Saccharomyces cerevisiae S288C: one gene and its partners. The gene in region 1 interacts genetically with each later gene. Each region holds a gene or a part of one and is shown in the gene's direction. Other genes may lie near its edges.

Evidence for each region.
Region 2: of PHO11 (region 1) and KCS1, changing one suppresses a phenotype caused by changing the other (phenotypic suppression), as found in Saccharomyces cerevisiae (one study listed by BioGRID).
Region 3: of PHO11 (region 1) and FOB1, changing one suppresses a phenotype caused by changing the other (phenotypic suppression), as found in Saccharomyces cerevisiae (one study listed by BioGRID).

What each region holds. Positions count from the first base shown.
Region 1 is NC_001133.9:221,756-229,647, forward strand, and holds PHO11 (acid phosphatase PHO11), read left to right. Parts: upstream 1-3,704; coding exon 3,705-5,108; downstream 5,109-7,892. Other genes in the region: YAR068W (uncharacterized protein), read left to right, coding at 651-1,136.
Region 2 is NC_001136.10:476,472-483,821, reverse strand, and holds KCS1 (inositol polyphosphate kinase KCS1), read left to right. Parts: upstream 1-1,554; coding exon 1,555-4,707; downstream 4,708-7,350. Other genes in the region: MLG1 (putative acyltransferase), read left to right, coding at 1-1,152; DAD1 (Dad1p), read left to right, coding at 5,064-5,348; HED1 (Hed1p), read right to left, coding at 5,537-6,025. UniProt on the Saccharomyces cerevisiae protein: Converts inositol hexakisphosphate (InsP6) to diphosphoinositol pentakisphosphate (InsP7/PP-InsP5). Involved in phosphate regulation and polyphosphate accumulation.
Region 3 is NC_001136.10:674,167-680,445, forward strand, and holds FOB1 (replication fork barrier binding protein FOB1), read left to right. Parts: upstream 1-1,935; coding exon 1,936-3,636; downstream 3,637-6,279. Other genes in the region: YDR109C (putative phosphotransferase), read right to left, coding at 1-1,501; alanine transaminase ALT2, read right to left, coding at 4,075-5,598.

The sequences.
Region 1 (7,892 bases):
TACAATCAACATCGTCTCTGGTAACCTATACTTGCACTACCCTGACACCTTTACTGGCCAAACTGTTGTATTCAAGGGTGAAGGTGTTCTTGCCGTTGACCCAACCGAAACCAACGCCACTCCTATTCCTGTTGTTGGCTACACCGGTAAGAACCAAATTGCCATTACCGCCGACATCACTGCTCTTTCTTACGACGGTACTACTGGTGTCTTAACTGCAACCCAAGGTAACAGACAATTCTCTTTTGAAATTGGTACTGGATTCTCTAGTTCTGGCTTCAGTGTCTCCGAAGGAATCTTCGCAGGCGCCTACTCATATTACCTAAACTATGACGGTGTCATCGCTACAAGCGCCGCATCCACATCCGCATCCACTACCTCTGGTGTTGTCTCTACTGCCACTGGTTCAGTCACTTTATCCTCTAACGCTTCTACCACCGTCTCTTCTACGATCTCTTCTAGCGCCCCAGACTCAATAATTCCTTCATCTAGCGCCTCTATCTCTGGTGTCTCAAACTCCACTACAGCATCTGGTTCAATCGCTTCTACTGCTTCCACCGCTTCCACTACTTCTACTGCATCCGCTGCATCCGCCACCAGCTTCACCTCAGGTTCCGCTTCTGTCTACACTACTACATTAACTTACTTGAATGCCACAAGTACAGTCGTGGTTTCCTGTTCAGAAACAACCGACGCTAGCGGTAACATTTACACCATTACCACAACTGTCCCATGCTCATCTACCACTGCCACCATCACATCTTGTGACGAAAACGGATGCCATGTTCCAGCACCAACTGCTACCGACGCAACTGCAACCGTTTCCTCCAAGTCATACACCACTGTTACTGTTACTCACTGTGACAACAATGGCTGTAACACCAAGACTGTCACTTCTGAATGTTCTAAAGAAACTGCAGCAACCACCATTTCTCCAAAATCATACACTACTGTTACCGTTACTCACTGTGACGACAACGGCTGTAACACCAAGACTGTCACTTCCGAGGCTTCCAAACAAACATCATTGGCCACTAGCACAGTCACCAAGTCTGCTGCTCCAACTTCTCATACTGCTGCTTCCAGCACCTTCACTGGTATTGTCGTTCAATCCGAAGGTATGGCTGCTGGTTTGAGAACCAATGCTTTAAGTACTTTGGCAGGTATTTTCATCCTTGCTTTTTTTTAAAATGAGTGCGTAACCGTACTTTCCTAAAAATAACTAAGTAGAAAGTATTTTAATATATAAACGTCAGTGTAAACATTCAAGTGATTTTAACTTTACGCGGTTGAAGAATGCTGTGTTCGAACTATAAAGCGTCAGAAAAGATGGTTTAGCGAAGGCACCATTATGAAGATAGACACATTCTTCTTTTTTTTTTTTTTTTTTTTTTTTTTTTTTTTTTTTCATTTACTTTTATTTCGCGCGGTCGGTAAATTTTTCGTGGGTTTCTTTGAATCTATTAGCCGACATAAGAATAATGCATAAATAATATTTTTAATGTCTTCCTATGCCCAAAAGAAGAAGTCTTGAAGTTGCCGCACATGGAAATCACATGACCATGGCTTGGCCCTTCGTTTTAAATGCAACATGCAATATGGAATGTGTCATGAATACTATCAGCAGGAACAGAAAGCGTCGTTTTGTTTCTGCAAATGCTGTAGTTTTGGGCCGAAAATAGATGTAGTAGAATATATAGTGAAACGTGATGTACAAAAGAAAAAGGTAGTTTAAAAAAAATTAGATAACTTGGATTTTTACCCTGAATATTGCATGTGATTCGTAAAGAACTGAGTTACCTCAAACGGACCTCCCTTTTCATTTCGTATTCCGCGAATCATGAAGTCATGCAATTACCTCTGAAGAGCTGACTGTCCCAAAAGAAGCTATCGAATCTGTCCTTGATTTATTTAAGCCTTGCGTTTCGAGAAAGTGAAAACCAATTGAATACAAAATAAAAAAAAAGAAGAAAGAAATAGCAGGTCTAAGATATATAAGAAAGTTAATATCATTTTTGAACATTTTATTTTAGACGCCTTCAGCCGCGCGACGCCCGGAGTAATCATATGCCCATGACTTTACCAAAAGGCAACAGGGAGGAACATGCATTAATGTGAAGCATCACTGCTGCAATTCTCGGTGTTGCTAATAATTCATGGATCGAGAAAGAGACATAACATTTAGGCCAATTTTTTGAATAAATATGAACTCAGCTAAGACTCGACAATACAATTTTCTTATACTAAACGTAGATTTATAAAATAAACACAACTGTAAGGGCAATGCAACCGTAGATGCATATATCATTTATAGAAATTATATCCAACAGAAAGCTCAGACTTATATCCGGTTTAAGAGAGAAATTCTTGCTCATATTACCCCAAGACCAGGTGGCGTGTTGAAGTTTATAACATATAAGAACTACTACCTCATGAATTCTAGTGGATGAAAGAAGCAGCACGAACACCATTTCTACAGACAACGACACATGGAAAGGTTCACCATTCCCAAAGAAAACAACGATGGCCACAAGGGTGTGGTCCTCCATTCTCCTACTGTTGGAAGGAGATATTATCCGACCGACTGTTTTGTGATATGGCAAACTATTTTTTTAAATGAGCAAAATTACTTCTTTTGGCTGGAAATGTCATTAGAAAGTGCCCAAGTGACATTTAGCTAAACTCGGGTATTGTCTACAAGACCGGTGCTGTGACCGTTTCCAATACGGAAAGAAACGGTACTGGGAGCAGGAGTTGCTTTTACAGATATGAACAATGCCAATAGAGCCGCACATGTAATTACTGGTTCACACTCGTGGGGCCCACACGATTCCTGTGCAAAGTTTGACAAGAGGATGGAGTTTCACGTAAATGCTGCCAAAGGTGATGCGGTTTTGTTTTTGGGCAGCCTCTACCATGTTGCAAGTGCGAACCATACTGTGGCCACATAGATTACAAAAAAAGTCCAGGATATCTTGCAAACCTAGCTTGTTTTGTAAACGACATTGAAAAAAGCGTATTAAGGTGAAACAATCAAGATTATCTATGCCGATGAAAAATGAAAGGTATGATTTCTGCCACAAATATATAGTAGTTATTTTATACATCAAGATGAGAAAATAAAGGGATTTTTTCGTTCTTTTATCATTTTCTCTTTCTCACTTCCGACTACTTCTTATATCTACTTTCATCGTTTCATTCATCGTGGGTGTCTAATAAAGTTTTAATGACAGAGATAACCTTGATAAGCTTTTTCTTATACGCTGTGTCACGTATTTATTAAATTACCACGTTTTCGCATAACATTCTGTAGTTCATGTGTACTAAAAAAAAAAAAAAAAAAGAAATAGGAAGGAAAGAGTAAAAAGTTAATAGAAAACAGAACACATCCCTAAACGAAGCCGCACAATCTTGGCGTTCACACGTGGGTTTAAAAAGGCAAATTACACAGAATTTCAGACCCTGTTTACCGGAGAGATTCCATATTCCGCACGTCACATTGCCAAATTGGTCATCTCACCAGATATGTTATACCCGTTTTGGAATGAGCATAAACAGCGTCGAATTGCCAAGTAAAACGTATATAAGCTCTTACATTTCGATAGATTCAAGCTCAGTTTCGCCTTGGTTGTAAAGTAGGAAGAAGAAGAAGAAGAAGAGGAACAACAACAGCAAAGAGAGCAAGAACATCATCAGAAATACCAATGTTGAAGTCAGCCGTTTATTCAATTTTAGCCGCTTCTTTGGTTAATGCAGGTACCATACCCCTCGGAAAGTTATCTGACATTGACAAAATCGGAACTCAAACGGAAATTTTCCCATTTTTGGGTGGTTCTGGGCCATACTACTCTTTCCCTGGTGATTATGGTATTTCTCGTGATTTGCCGGAAAGTTGTGAAATGAAGCAAGTGCAAATGGTTGGTAGACACGGTGAAAGATACCCCACTGTCAGCAAAGCCAAAAGTATCATGACAACATGGTACAAATTGAGTAACTATACCGGTCAATTCAGCGGAGCATTGTCTTTCTTGAACGATGACTACGAATTTTTCATTCGTGACACCAAAAACCTAGAAATGGAAACCACACTTGCCAATTCGGTCAATGTTTTGAACCCATATACCGGTGAGATGAATGCTAAGAGACACGCTCGTGATTTCTTGGCGCAATATGGCTACATGGTCGAAAACCAAACCAGTTTTGCCGTTTTTACGTCTAACTCGAACAGATGTCATGATACTGCCCAGTATTTCATTGACGGTTTGGGTGATAAATTCAACATATCCTTGCAAACCATCAGTGAAGCCGAGTCTGCTGGTGCCAATACTCTGAGTGCCCACCATTCGTGTCCTGCTTGGGACGATGATGTCAACGATGACATTTTGAAAAAATATGATACCAAATATTTGAGTGGTATTGCCAAGAGATTAAACAAGGAAAACAAGGGTTTGAATCTGACTTCAAGTGATGCAAACACTTTTTTTGCATGGTGTGCATATGAAATAAACGCTAGAGGTTACAGTGACATCTGTAACATCTTCACCAAAGATGAATTGGTCCGTTTCTCCTACGGCCAAGACTTGGAAACTTATTATCAAACGGGACCAGGCTATGACGTCGTCAGATCCGTCGGTGCCAACTTGTTCAACGCTTCAGTGAAACTACTAAAGGAAAGTGAGGTCCAGGACCAAAAGGTTTGGTTGAGTTTCACCCACGATACCGATATTCTGAACTATTTGACCACTATCGGCATAATCGATGACAAAAATAACTTGACCGCCGAACATGTTCCATTCATGGAAAACACTTTCCACAGATCCTGGTACGTTCCACAAGGTGCTCGTGTTTACACTGAAAAGTTCCAGTGTTCCAATGACACCTATGTTAGATACGTCATCAACGATGCTGTCGTTCCAATTGAAACCTGTTCTACTGGTCCAGGGTTCTCCTGTGAAATAAATGACTTCTACGACTATGCTGAAAAGAGAGTAGCCGGTACTGACTTCCTAAAGGTCTGTAACGTCAGCAGCGTCAGTAACTCTACTGAATTGACCTTTTTCTGGGACTGGAATACCAAGCACTACAACGACACTTTATTAAAACAGTAAATAGATAATATGATTATGTAATTTTAGAAACTAATTATGAATACCGATTTATTTTTTTTTTTTTTTTTCACTTTTGCTGGCAAGAAATACGAAATTGCAATGACGATCACAGTCCAAAGAGGTAAGCACAAAGGCGCAGTATGTGATTACTCTATCATTCTTTAGCAAAACCAGGATAGGAGTATATGTATAAGAAATATGCAACGCCATCATTTAATGCAATAGACACGACATGCCCTTTACATGAGGTGGTACAATGTTTTAATATTGTGTCAGGGCAAGTACATGATAATATCGTTTAAAGATGATGCTAGAGTAAAAGTATGAAGTGAAAGAAAAGGGCAATTGATTGACTAAGCGGATGTTGTAGGATGATATAGTGGCTCATGATCTGTAAATGATCGGTTGACCGCAGTATTATATAATAACATCCGTATAAGTACATATACTACCATGTCTGTTCTCTACATTGCTTTTTATTCAAGATTATTGGTTTTCCTAACCGCCGCGCCGCGCAGGTACCCCGCGCATCTCTTCTTCTCGAAGAAAGCGGAAAAAACAAAAAAAAAAGTATAAATAGTGGAGTCTTTTCCCATTTAACATTTAGAAAAAAATTCGAATGGAAATTTCTTGCCGAACATTTAACCGGAGACCCTTGGCGGCTTTTTCTCAGTTTCGTGGGCTAGTACATTTTACCTAGTATGCTGGGAACTTTTTTTCCGTATTCTATTCTATTCCTTGCCTTACTTTTCTTATCATTTTTTATATAACCAATTTCAAAAATACTTTTTAACTGTCATAGACGCATTTTGTTTATTACAAATTAAAAGAATCAAATATAATATGTGCAATTAATAACTCCACAAGTAGCGAAAGCAATGGCCGCCATTAGAGACTACAAGACCGCACTAGATCTTACCAAGAGCCTACCAAGACCGGATGGTTTGTCAGTGCAGGAACTGATGGACTCCAAGATCAGAGGTGGGTTGGCTTATAACGATTTTTTAATCTTACCAGGTTTAGTCGATTTTGCGTCCTCTGAAGTTAGCCTACAGACCAAGCTAACCAGGAATATTACTTTAAACATTCCATTAGTATCCTCTCCAATGGACACTGTGACGGAATCTGAAATGGCCACTTTTATGGCTCTGTTGGATGGTATCGGTTTCATTCACCATAACTGTACTCCAGAGGACCAAGCTGACATGGTCAGAAGAGTCAAGAACTATGAAAATGGGTTTATTAACAACCCTATAGTGATTTCTCCAACTACGACCGTTGGTGAAGCTAAGAGCATGAAGGAAAAGTATGGATTTGCAGGCTTCCCTGTCACGGCAGATGGAAAGAGAAATGCAAAGTTGGTGGGTGCCATCACCTCTCGTGATATACAATTCGTTGAGGACAACTCTTTACTCGTTCAGGATGTCATGACCAAAAACCCTGTTACCGGCGCACAAGGTATCACATTATCAGAAGGTAACGAAATTCTAAAGAAAATCAAAAAGGGTAGGCTACTGGTTGTTGATGAAAAGGGTAACTTAGTTTCTATGCTTTCCCGAACTGATTTAATGAAAAATCAGAAGTACCCATTAGCGTCCAAATCTGCCAACACCAAGCAACTGTTATGGGGTGCTTCTATTGGGACTATGGACGCTGATAAAGAAAGACTAAGATTATTGGTAAAAGCTGGCTTGGATGTCGTCATATTGGATTCCTCTCAAGGTAACTCTATTTTCCAATTGAACATGATCAAATGGATTAAAGAAACTTTCCCAGATTTGGAAATCATTGCTGGTAACGTTGTCACCAAGGAACAAGCTGCCAATTTGATTGCTGCCGGTGCGGACGGTTTGAGAATTGGTATGGGAACTGGCTCTATTTGTATTACCCAAAAAGTTATGGCTTGTGGTAGGCCACAAGGTACAGCCGTCTACAACGTGTGTGAATTTGCTAACCAATTCGGTGTTCCATGTATGGCTGATGGTGGTGTTCAAAAACATTGGTCATATTATTACCAAAGCTTTGGCTCTTGGTTCTTCTACTGTTATGATGGGTGGTATGTTGGCCGGTACTACCGAATCACCAGGTGAATATCTCTATCAAGATGGTAAAAGATTGAAGGCGTATCGTGGTATGGGCTCCATTGACGCCATGCAAAAGACTGGTACCAAAGGTAATGCATCTACCTCCCGTTACTTTTCCGAATCAGACAGTGTTTTGGTCGCACAAGGTGTCTCTGGCGCTGTCGTTGACAAAGGATCCATTAAGAAATTTATTCCGTACTTGTACAATGGATTACAACATTCTTGTCAAGACATCGGCTGTAGGTCGTTAACTTTACTAAAGGAAAATGTCCAAAGCGGTAAAGTTAGATTTGAATTCAGAACCGCTTCTGCTCAACTAGAAGGTGGTGTTAATAACTTACATTCCTACGAAAAACGTTTACATAACTGAATGTTAAATGGGATCATTAATACAATAGTACTGTACGTATGGCACCTGTACATACTGCGTTATAAATGTACTAATGGAATGATATATTAATATATAGTGTGTTTATACCTTATTATTGATGATTAGTATATATTTTTATATTTAGGTGATTTTAGTGGAGATTATTTGGTGGTAATTACACTAGTATACATAAAATGGGTAGTGGATATTTGTATAGAAAGGGCATTACGCATGGAGTTAAGAGTATTTACATGATAATTGGGGTTCCGTGATTCATTATAGATAATAAAACGTGGATAATATTGGGTGTTATAGGTAAATGGGACAGGG
Region 2 (7,350 bases), on another chromosome or scaffold:
GAAAAGACTGGTAATCCCTTTATAAAAGGGTTGCAAAGGCTGCTTATCGCTTGCTTGTTCATTTCAGGCTCGCTGAGTATTGTCGTTTTTCAGATCTGTCTACAGGTGCTTCTCCCTTGGAGCAAGATTAGATTTCAAAATGGTATAAATCAAAGTAAGAAGGCTTTTATCGTTTTATTATGCATGATCTTGAACATGGTGGCTCCCTCTTCTTTGAATGTCACTTTTGAAACATCGCGGCCATTGAAGAACTCTTCTAACGCCAAGCCATGCTTTAGATTTAAAGACAGGGCTATAATAATTGCAAATCATCAAATGTATGCAGACTGGATTTATCTCTGGTGGCTTTCCTTTGTTTCAAATTTGGGTGGTAACGTTTATATCATCCTGAAGAAAGCTCTGCAGTACATACCATTACTGGGATTTGGCATGCGAAATTTTAAGTTTATATTTTTAAGTAGGAACTGGCAAAAGGATGAGAAAGCTTTAACAAATAGTTTGGTTTCTATGGACTTAAACGCGAGGTGCAAGGGGCCCCTTACAAATTATAAGAGTTGTTATTCCAAGACAAATGAATCCATTGCCGCTTATAATTTAATCATGTTCCCTGAGGGTACAAATCTAAGCCTCAAGACAAGAGAAAAAAGCGAGGCATTCTGTCAAAGAGCACATTTGGACCATGTCCAATTAAGACATTTGTTATTACCGCACTCTAAAGGCTTGAAGTTTGCAGTAGAAAAACTAGCTCCTAGTTTAGATGCTATCTACGATGTCACTATTGGATATTCTCCCGCCTTGAGAACGGAATACGTCGGCACCAAATTCACCTTGAAGAAAATATTCTTAATGGGTGTCTATCCGGAGAAAGTAGATTTTTATATTAGGGAATTTAGAGTTAATGAGATCCCTTTGCAAGATGACGAAGTTTTTTTCAATTGGTTACTGGGCGTGTGGAAAGAAAAAGATCAACTGCTAGAAGACTACTACAACACAGGCCAATTTAAAAGTAATGCTAAAAATGACAACCAATCCATCGTTGTTACGACACAAACGACTGGATTTCAGCACGAAACATTGACACCCCGTATCCTTTCATATTACGGGTTCTTCGCTTTTCTTATTCTTGTATTTGTGATGAAAAAAAATCATTGATTTAACCTTAAACCAAACATAATTAAACCTGTATTTCATATATTATTTCCACTTAGCTTAGCCATCCACAACGGTAAAGTTACAAATATATAAGTAATAGTTGCTTTCATAAAAATTATTAACACTTCTTTCGAACTCATCGCAGAAGTGTCGCCGGCCCCTCAACTTCGCGCCGTATCGCTTTTTTTTTTTTTTTTCAATACAGGATCAAGACGAAAAACACTTTTCTGTTCTTGTTTGTCTCTGTTGGTTGGATTATATCTCCAACAAAAGGGAAAATCCCAGTTTGACCTTATTATATTAGAATTGTCTTTTGTCTTCTTTCTTTCATTTTGTACATCTTTCTGTCTTCTCAAATCTTTTTTTTATTTTTTGTATATATAAAACTAAAGCTAAAAGACTATGGATACCTCTCACGAAATTCATGATAAAATACCCGATACATTAAGAGAGCAGCAGCAGCATTTGCGCCAAAAAGAGTCGGAAGGGTGCATAACAACATTGAAAGATCTTAATGTACCTGAGACGAAGAAACTTTCCTCCGTCTTACATGGCAGAAAGGCGAGTACATATTTAAGAATTTTTAGAGATGATGAATGTTTAGCCGATAACAACAATGGTGTAGATAGCAATAATGGCGGGTCCGTGACATGCGCGGACAAAATAACAAGGTCAGAAGCAACTCCCAAATCGGTACCAGAAGGACTACAAGTTTCTGAAAAAAAGAATAACCCAGATACTTTGTCCTCTTCATTGTCAAGTTTCATTTTATCTAACCACGAGGAGCCGGCAATTAAGCCCAATAAACACGTGGCGCATAGAAATAATATTACTGAGACAGGTCAAGGCTCTGGTGAGGATATCGCAAAACAACAATCACACCAACCACAGGTGTTACACCACCAGACTTCTTTAAAGCCAATTCAGAATGTTGATGAGGGATGTATTTCGCCTAAGTCCACTTATCAGGAGAGCTTACATGGAATATCGGAGGACTTAACGTTAAAGCCTGTTTCTTCTGCAACATACTATCCTCACAAAAGTAAAGCAGATTCTGGTTATGAAGAAAAGGATAAAATGGAAAATGATATTGATACTATTCAGCCTGCCACCATAAATTGTGCCTCTGGTATAGCGACACTTCCTAGTTCATATAACCGACATACTTTCAAAGTTAAGACATATTCAACTTTATCACAATCCCTAAGGCAAGAAAACGTCAACAATCGTAGTAACGAAAAAAAACCTCAACAGTTTGTGCCACATAGCGAATCAATTAAAGAAAAACCCAATACGTTTGAACAAGATAAAGAAGGCGAGCAAGCGGACGAAGAAGAGGATGAAGGTGATAATGAACATAGGGAATATCCCCTAGCAGTTGAACTAAAACCATTTACGAATAGAGTTGGAGGTCACACTGCAATATTCAGATTTTCGAAGAGAGCGGTTTGTAAGGCTCTAGTGAATAGAGAAAACAGGTGGTATGAGAATATAGAGCTGTGCCATAAAGAATTATTGCAATTCATGCCACGTTATATTGGTGTCCTGAATGTTAGGCAACATTTTCAGTCAAAAGATGACTTTTTAAGCGATTTGGATCAAGAAAACAACGGTAAAAATGATACCAGTAATGAAAACAAAGACATAGAAGTCAATCATAACAATAACGACGATATTGCGCTTAATACAGAACCCACGGGGACCCCCTTAACACACATACATTCCTTCCCCTTGGAACATTCGTCGAGACAAGTACTTGAAAAAGAGCATCCTGAAATTGAGTCTGTCCATCCACACGTGAAAAGATCACTGTCAAGTTCCAACCAACCTTCCTTGTTGCCCGAGGTTGTATTAAATGATAACAGGCATATTATACCGGAATCTCTGTGGTACAAATATTCCGATTCTCCAAACTCGGCACCGAATGATTCGTACTTTTCGTCCTCCTCTTCTCATAACTCATGTTCGTTCGGTGAGCGTGGCAATACAAATAAATTAAAAAGACGCGATTCTGGGTCCACCATGATCAATACTGAATTGAAGAACCTAGTCATAAGGGAAGTATTTGCACCGAAATGTTTTAGAAGGAAAAGAAACTCTAATACGACTACAATGGGAAACCATAATGCGCGTTTGGGTTCCAGTCCATCTTTTTTAACACAAAAATCAAGAGCCTCGTCCCATGATGCATCGAATACGTCTATGAAGACTCTTGGTGATTCATCGTCACAAGCGAGTTTACAGATGGATGACTCGAAAGTCAATCCGAATTTGCAGGATCCTTTCTTGAAAAAATCGCTTCATGAAAAAATATCTAATGCTTTAGATGGCTCGCATTCAGTAATGGATTTGAAGCAATTCCACAAAAACGAACAAATAAAACATAAAAACTCTTTCTGCAACTCTTTATCACCCATTCTCACTGCAACCAATTCTAGAGATGATGGCGAATTTGCCACCTCCCCGAATTATATCAGCAACGCACAAGATGGTGTTTTTGATATGGATGAAGATACGGGAAACGAAACTATAAATATGGATAACCACGGCTGCCATCTTGACTCTGGTAAAAACATGATTATAAAGTCATTGGCGTATAATGTTTCAAATGACTATAGTCATCATGATATTGAATCAATTACGTTTGAGGAGACGTCCCACACCATTGTTTCAAAATTTATCTTATTGGAAGATTTGACAAGAAACATGAACAAGCCTTGTGCACTGGATCTAAAGATGGGGACAAGACAATATGGCGTAGACGCCAAAAGAGCCAAGCAACTGTCACAGCGTGCAAAGTGTTTAAAGACCACTTCTAGGCGTTTAGGCGTTAGAATCTGCGGATTAAAGGTTTGGAACAAAGATTATTATATCACAAGAGATAAATACTTTGGTAGAAGGGTTAAGGTTGGTTGGCAATTTGCTAGGGTACTTGCACGTTTTTTGTATGATGGTAAGACCATTGAAAGTTTAATCAGGCAAATTCCAAGGTTGATCAAGCAACTAGATACTTTGTATTCTGAAATTTTTAATTTGAAAGGTTACAGGCTATATGGCGCGTCTTTATTACTAATGTACGATGGAGATGCTAATAAATCAAATTCTAAAAGGAAAAAAGCTGCTAATGTTAAAGTCAACTTGATCGATTTTGCACGTTGTGTTACTAAAGAAGATGCAATGGAATGTATGGATAAATTTCGTATACCCCCAAAATCGCCAAATATAGAAGATAAAGGGTTCTTACGAGGTGTGAAGAGCTTGAGGTTTTATCTGTTATTAATCTGGAATTATCTGACTTCTGATATGCCGTTAATTTTCGATGAAGTAGAGATGAATGATATGATTAGCGAAGAAGCAGATTCGAATAGTTTCACCTCCGCCACCGGTTCGAAAATCAACTTCAACAGTAAGTGGGATTGGTTAGATGAATTTGACAAAGAAGACGAAGAAATGTATAATGATCCAAATAGTAAACTAAGACAAAAATGGAGAAAATACGAGCTTATTTTCGACGCTGAACCAAGATACAATGACGATGCTCAAGTTAGTGATTGAAAAGAAAGGATAGAACTAATGAATATTCTTTTAGCTGCGCTTATTTCAGTCCGTAAATGCATTTATCTATTCGTAACTATCATTATTTTGATTGCATAATCCAATAAATACACAAACGAGCATAGCATATATAACTATATATATGAAAAGACAAACGAATTTGTACGTGTATGAATATGACTACACGGTTATAGGCGATCACTAGAACCATTGAGCGGAAAGGGCCACCTCCGGGTAAAAGTCAAGGCCGCGAAAATAACAAAGGGAATAAACAGTCACCTTTAACAAGAGGAGGTAGTAATTAGCGTAGGAATAGGACTGATGAAGAGCTCGGACGTGTGAGGATATATGTACATATGATGGCTAGTACATCCAATGATGAAGAAAAGTTGATATCAACCACTGACAAATACTTCATCGAGCAGAGGAATATAGTATTGCAGGAGATCAATGAGACTATGAATTCAATCTTGAATGGTCTGAATGGTCTCAATATATCATTGGAGAGCTCGATAGCTGTGGGAAGAGAATTCCAGTCAGTTTCTGATTTGTGGAAAACACTTTATGATGGGTTGGAAAGTTTATCAGACGAAGCGCCCATCGACGAGCAACCTACTTTATCTCAATCGAAAACGAAGTAAAGTTGCGGTTCCCTCTGTCTCTCCTAATATTATCCTAAATTTATGTTTACAGTCGCAAATTAGATAAAGGATACGTAAGATATAAATTGTAATTTTAGCCTAATGATAAGTAAGTTGTGGACAACTTTTGCACGTTGAAAAAAGTGGAGGGCCACCGAACTCTTTTTCAAACGTTCTCCTCTTTGAACTTAGTTGTCTACCGTTTTGGATGGTAATAGCTGTTTCTTGGATAGACCTACCTTATATTTAACCTTGTTAGAATCCACCTGATAGAATGTCTTGTTCGTTTCATATATCAAGTCCTTTAGGCTCTTCTTCTTCCTTGGAGGGCTTTTCTTCATTGAAGGTGGTGGTTGTAGCCTGTCAAGCTCTTTCGAGGGACCTCCTTGGTATTGATCTTGTTCTCTTACTCCTTTTTTGGCGTCCAGATAAGCACCCCCATTGGGGCTTCCGCCACCTGTGTTCTCAGACAGATTTTTGGCACGAAGTTGTTGTTTTTCCAATTCCAAATTAAACAGTCTTCTTTCTACAACGTTGATGTTGACTATGGGAGAAGTCGTAATAGACCTTTTGTTCTTTCTTGCTGGAGCAACTTCGGTGCACAAGCTCTTTTCGGCATTATTATGTACCCCGAGTGGTATATAGGAGCAGCTTCTCCTATTTGATCTTTGTTGCATCGTCTTGATTTCTCTCTTTCGTTCGTCTCTGACATGTAGTTGTAATTCAAGAATTTAACCTGGGCGGCTATCTTAATAAATAGTGCATTACTCAAGCAAAAATCAGAAACCACGTACGCTAATTAAAGCCGTGAAAAACGAAAATATAAATATGCGAGAGTATACATTAAAATATTGTACATGTTAGCGACGCAGATTTATACCTCGCCATTTTTAGTCTTGAATTGAGGTGATCTTTTATTAAAGAGCATATCACCTCGGCAAGAACCCAGGTCTATTACACAAGTGGCAAGGCAAAGTGTGCATAATAAATATGTAATATAGTTACTTGCATTTTTTAATCTCTTGAGGTTATTATTCCTCATGTTGTCTAACTTCCAAGCAACTAGGAGTGATAAACACGTCGTCTTTAGGAATGGTGAACATTGGCAGTTATGGCCATTCAGAATGAATTTCAAGAGAAAAAGGATGCACCTTGCATGAAGTACCAAGAAAATAGACAAATCCGCTGGAGAAATTGGTATTGTTACTATAATTCTTATTCCCGATGTTCCAAGCAGGCATTCACATGCATCAGTTGAAAGGTATATAAGTACTACTTCAATATATCTATCAGCTCTGGGAAAATGCTTCAAGAAGGAAAAATGATAAGTAAACTATCCTTTAACGCCTCATGATTATTGAATAGCCTATACATGCAGAGATTAAATTTGATCCAACACCAGTAAATCCTTAGTTAAGTCATCGCATGCATGTTTACCATACATTCACTACTATTTGTGTACGGAAGACCAAATAAGATAAACCATAATGCTGGTCTCCTTCCATTTACTAACATACGTAATTGCTCCTACTGCCGTTCAGCCTAACCTACTCACACATTCTGATGGTGATCATGCAATCTTTGAGTGAATATGTTGACTAAAAGAACATTAAGCTTTATTTTTTTGGCGTGACCAGCGGGTACTGCGATTCTTTGACTTTGTTTTCTACTGTATCACTGGAAATTGATTGAATAATTAACCAATTTAAAGTAACAATAACACAGTATCACAAAAAGTCACCTGATGGACCTTATGGGATATAGAATTTTTACCCGCCGAGTTTCAAGACTCTGCGGTATATTAATTACCATCAGTACATTATTAATGAATATATTAACCTTTTTTCGTATGTTTATTAATATACTATTTTTATTGCATTGTTATATCGTCTACCCGAAGTACTCTAGGCTTCCTATGCCTCGAAAAAAAGGTTTTAGTCTTTCAGTTTTTTAAGCCCTTTCAACCTTTTTTAAAAGGTGCGGAGATCCTGCTCATATTTTT
Region 3 (6,279 bases), on another chromosome or scaffold:
CATGCCCACTTTTTAGCATTACTTCAATGATTTGTCTTGTTTGTTGTGATATGAATTCACAGGCACTCAAATACATAACCGCTAAGTCTTCAATTGAGTTATCCATAGATTGTCCTATAATACAAGCGCGCATATTCGGATCTGCTATCGGTGATCGATTACCGTGATAGTCACCATAAAAAAACAAGTGCTTAGCTAAAGAAATAACAGATCTTACTTTGCGCTTCTCGACCAAGGTTTCAAGTATTTTGTTTAAATATTCGAATTTCGACACACCTGCCAAATTAGCCATATGGGATAGCTCAGTGAAAGCTGGATGCGTCGTTATTAAATGATCTAAAAGAACGCCTGTACAGCTTTGGCCGCCTTCTGCCGCCCAAAAGCCTCTTGCAAGGACATCTCTATAAGGCCCCCAAACGCCATGGACAAATATAGGGTTTTTTGATAACAAAATATGACACGTAGACGTACCGGCAACAGCTGCCAATCTGCCAATTGCACCATTGAAATCCTTTTTATAATTTTCGGTCTCGGCAAGACCTTTTACTGCTGATTCCGGCTTGGCGGCTACCGTCCCTACCCAGCCTGCATATGCATCAATAATTCCTGAACTTACTACACAATGCTCTGTCAAGCCTAATTGACAGGCAGCCTTTTTATCTAACGGGCTGATACATTCACCTGCGGTCAGAAAGTTTTTTTTTTCCCTTAACGATCCACCCAGTCTTTCAAAATCATTCTTCGTAAGCTCTGAAAGCCCAATTGAATTTAAGAATTCTTTGGACCAGCCTATATCGGAACCTTCGACACCCACTGGTAGAAATCCCTGCTTACAAACAGCAGAACAAAATGACCTATTCTCTTTTCCCGTGGCTTTGAAAGTCAAGTAATCCGGAAGGTCAAAAAACTTACAATCCTGAAAAATTCCAGCTTCTAAGTTGTTCTTCAACCACTTAATCTTCGGAATTTCCATTTCAACAGACATTTGCCCTCCCACATATTTTAAACATTTATCACCAGATGAGTTGATTTCTTCAGTCTCCTTCATCGCCCTATGGTCCATCCATAATATGATATTCTGGTCATTATTGGTAAAATCCGGTCCAACTGCAATTTCTTCAAAATTGGTAGCGGATACGACTACTAAGGAACAAGTCGCATCAAAACCAATTCCACGAACTCTTTCAGGGTCAACTCCTGATTCTTCAACAACAGTTCTAACACAATAGCAAACTGCATTCCAGATTTCTCTTGAAGACTGAGTAATAAAATTGGATATCAATTGTTCCCTTTTTATGGGTTTTTCTGCTAGCGACAACATGTTACCAGATTGATCGATAACACATGCCCTTGCAGAGCCTGTTCCGACATCTACACCAACGTAGAATTTTGCTTCTGGATCTTGTGGAGAAATGCGAGAAATCGAGGTTTCCTGTGACGACAATACCGCTGGCTCCCGTGTTTCATTTTGCATATTGTTTTGGCGTTTCCTGCTTTTCATATAGCCTTAATAATGTACTTTGCAGATGTTTGTTCCTTCGTCTCTTTACATCTTTTCATTGTACTCAGCGGTCTGGGTGTGCAGCTTTCCACATTTACTAATACTGGTCTGTAGCATTTAGTCAAACGGGTGTTATAAAGGTTCAATTTCTTCATCATACCTAACATTGTGATCGAGGTTTCCAGGAAGAGCTTATATATATCAAAACAAGAAACCCAGAGTATCTTTACCCCCACATTCAATATGAGGTGTCAGCCATAATTATTTACATGATAATACTGATATTTTTTCTTTTTCGCGATATATTGAAAAGAAAAAAAAATTGCGAGGTGATTCCTCATCGCATGTATTCATTTTAACGACATTGAATTAAGCCTTCAGGGGGGAGAACAATTTAACGATTGTGTGAGTGTGAATTTGTGCTGAGGATAACAATGACGAAACCGCGTTACAATGACGTGTTGTTTGATGATGATGACTCGGTACCATCAGAATCAGTTACGAGGAAATCGCAGAGAAGAAAGGCAACGTCACCTGGGGAATCAAGAGAGTCCTCAAAAGATCGTCTACTGATACTTCCCTCTATGGGGGAATCATATACTGAGTACGTAGACTCTTATTTGAACTTAGAATTATTGGAAAGGGGAGAAAGAGAAACACCAATCTTTCTTGAATCTCTGACAAGACAACTAACGCAGAAAATATATGAACTAATAAAAACAAAATCTTTAACTGCAGATACCTTGCAACAAATAAGTGATAAATACGATGGTGTAGTGGCAGAAAACAAGCTGTTATTTTTGCAAAGACAGTATTATGTTGATGATGAAGGAAATGTTAGAGATGGCCGAAATAATGATAAAATATACTGTGAGCCAAAGCATGTATACGACATGGTGATGGCAACACACTTGATGAATAAGCATCTTAGGGGTAAAACATTACATTCCTTTTTATTTTCTCATTTTGCCAATATTAGTCATGCCATCATCGATTGGGTCCAGCAATTTTGTTCAAAATGTAATAAAAAGGGCAAAATTAAACCATTGAAGGAATATAAACGTCCTGACATGTACGATAAACTACTACCAATGGAAAGGATACATATTGAGGTATTCGAACCCTTCAATGGAGAAGCTATTGAGGGAAAATATTCTTATGTCCTTTTATGCCGAGACTATCGCTCTAGTTTTATGTGGTTATTACCACTTAAGAGTACCAAATTCAAACATCTTATCCCAGTTGTTTCCTCACTTTTTTTAACATTTGCTAGGGTTCCAATTTTCGTAACATCAAGCACTTTAGATAAAGATGATCTTTATGATATTTGTGAAGAAATTGCATCAAAATACGGTCTCCGTATTGGCTTGGGTTTGAAGAGTTCTGCGAGATTTCATACTGGGGGTATACTGTGCATTCAGTATGCTCTAAATAGTTATAAGAAGGAATGTCTAGCCGATTGGGGTAAGTGCCTAAGATATGGCCCTTACAGATTCAACCGAAGGAGAAATAAGAGAACGAAACGTAAACCTGTGCAAGTACTACTTAGTGAAGTTCCAGGTCACAATGCCAAGTTTGAGACTAAGAGAGAAAGGGTTATAGAAAACACATATTCCCGTAATATGTTCAAGATGGCAGGTGGAAAAGGTCTTATATATTTGGAAGATGTCAATACTTTTGCCCTTGCTAATGAAGCGGATAATAGCTGTAACAATAATGGAATTCTTCATAATAACAATATAGGAAATGATAACTTTGAAGAAGAAGTGCAAAAACAATTTGATCTAACTGAAAAAAACTATATCGATGAGTATGATGATTTGGCACATGATTCTTCAGAGGGCGAATTTGAACCTAATACCTTAACTCCCGAAGAAAAGCCTCCTCATAATGTCGATGAGGACCGAATAGAGTCCACCGGCGTGGCAGCCCCAATGCAGGGAACAGAAGAGCCTGAAAAAGGGGATCAAAAAGAAAGTGACGGTGCATCACAAGTAGATCAAAGTGTCGAAATAACTAGACCAGAAACTTCCTACTATCAAACTCTGGAATCGCCGTCAACAAAACGACAGAAATTAGACCAACAGGGTAATGGAGATCAAACAAGAGACTTTGGCACATCAATGGAATTGTAATAATATGTAGGATAGAATGAAAGGAGGAGTCACCATAGGTGAAAAAAAAAAGCACCTATTGCATATAAAGTATTCAAAAAGGTGTTGAAAGCTCTTCCTGTATATGACCCTGTATTTAATGTACGCGGTTAAAAAATTTTTATATTTTTAAATAAGTATCAACTTGGATAATATGATCTTGCCCGCAAGGTGGTTTTATATGAATAATTACTTTTTTTTTTTTTTTTTTTTTTTTTTTTTTTTTTTAATTGAACAATAGATGCAGAGGAATGCTCCAAAATTTATTTCCTTGAACAATATTACAAGAGGCAGATATATACTTTTCCTTATTTCCCTTAGTAAAGAATGATGCATGTATACTATTACAAATTTAAACTTCACCCCCACCATGGATGCAAAACAAATAGAAAGCCATTATCATTAGTTTTTTTTTTTCATTCAATTACGATACTTGCTGAAGAAATCTTGATGAAATTCTTTCCAGTCTTGAATCCATTTAGTCCCTGGAGCCAAAAACGTTGTTCGCACATGATAAGTCCCGGGTCTTTGTCCGAACCCAGACCCTGGGACAGTACAAATACCTGTAGATTCTAGCAAAGATGTGCAATAGAACTCATCAGGTTCGATGCCAAGGCGTTCGCTTTCACAAAGAGCTTTCTTAGGTAAAACAAGCCTAGGGAAAAGATACATTGCACCCTGAGGTTTTTGGCATTCGATACCCTCTAGTTCCTTAAACGTCTCGTACAATAAGTTTGCTCTCGTACGCATTTCATGAAAAATTTTCAGCCTTTCGTCATGATCTTGTTCATAGGACTCGTCTCCAGGCTGGGGTGGTTTGACCATTAAATCAACCACAGCTTGTCCTGTGACAACAGAACATATGGATATAGACATGAGTTTGAAAAGAGCATCTCTTATTTCTTGAGAAAACCCAATAATTTCCATGTAACCGCCTCTTTGGCCGCACTCATCCATGAATCCTTTAGAAATGGAGTGTAAAGAGGCGAGCTGAACGTTATCGAATTTTCCTGGATAAAGATGCTGCAATTTTCTTAGGACTTTCTTCATCGAATGAAATTTAACATCGTTGAAAATGTTTTCTTGATAGACCTCATCAGAAATGATTGTAATGCCGTATTTCGCAGCGATCAAACAGATCCTGGCAATGGTTTCTTCAGAAAGAACTGCACCGGTTGGGTTACCTGGATTAATAACTATCAGCACAGATGGTCTGATCTGTTTTTTCAAAGCATCTTGCACTACTTTTTCAATTTCGTCGCTGTTTGTAGACCAATTTGACTCCTCATCTAAGTAGTATGGCAGCACTTGTGCATTGAAAAGAGATGCGGATGCAGTATAAAGCGGATACTGCGGAATTGGAATCAGCAGGCCTGTTTGAGAATCTTTACACAATAAAGATAACAAAGAAGTTGCCGCGGACGAAGCGCCAGTGGTTAAATAAATATCTTCCGGTGTAGCGGGCTCACCGCCGTCTCTTCTAGTAATGAAGTCAGCAACTGTTTGCCTTATTCCTGGCACACCTTGAGAATGCGAATATGCCCCTATAGAACCGCCAATATCATTCAAGAGGCGCTCAGCTCTTTCCAAGGCGTCCCTGGAAAACAAGTTCAAAGAAGCCAGTTCATTATGGCCTACTCGTAAAATTTCCGGGTACTCCAGGATGGCCAGTACTTGCCTGGTAAAGGTCAAAGGCTTCTGATCCAGTTGCTGCGGATTACCAATGTTCGCATTGATAATATCATCGAAAGGCAAAACTTCTGGGTTTTTTTTCAATTCCTCTTTTAGCTCGTCAGCTCTGGTTGGAATAGCTCCTCTTACAGCATATTCTGCCTTAGTGACACCTGTATTCAAATCTTTTTTAGTAATCTTGCCAGCGGGCTTAAAATCCAAATCCTTTGCGGTGAACACACCTTTCAAATCCTGTTGGTGTGTCATTGTCATGTGTTCTTACTTCTTCTGTGTTTACCACTTACAAAAACAACACTACTGTGGCGCTCCTTCCCTTTATTCTTATCTTTTATGCCTCTAGAGATATGAGGAAATATTGGGGTATTTACTGAATGAGAAAAGGATGATGTCAGTCAAGAAAGGATCAAAAAGAAAAGTGAACAGAATATAGTTCCCACACGAAGTAGTAAATTTAGCTATCCTAAAAGTGTATTGGTAATTTGAAGAGATATGTAGATGTACATATGGGACCATAAGAGTAGGAAAAATAAAATAAAATCGCCAAACAAGTAGGAGAAGCCTCAAGATACAAGCCGTTTCCATGGAGAAAATATTGCGAATGAGGCCAAACTTGAACTTTTTTTTTTTCTGCTAAAAAATTCAGAAAAAAAATGAAATTATTTTCTTAGGTATAATGAAGTAATTATGACGAAGTACTTTGAGAACCCATAAAGAGAAGCAATTGAAGACGTGTGGAGGACATCAGCCCGCAGCACATTAGTAGAAACAATAGTATCGTGATGTGATCCCTCTTGGACCCTTTGCCAATCAAGGGTGAAGCGAAGCCATTTAAAACGTACGAACAATGGCGGTAGTTGAGGTATGGGTGAGGCCGCAGATTAAATCCCGGCGGCAGGAGCAACCGCTTTTAACCAGAATTGTATGTTATAAAGT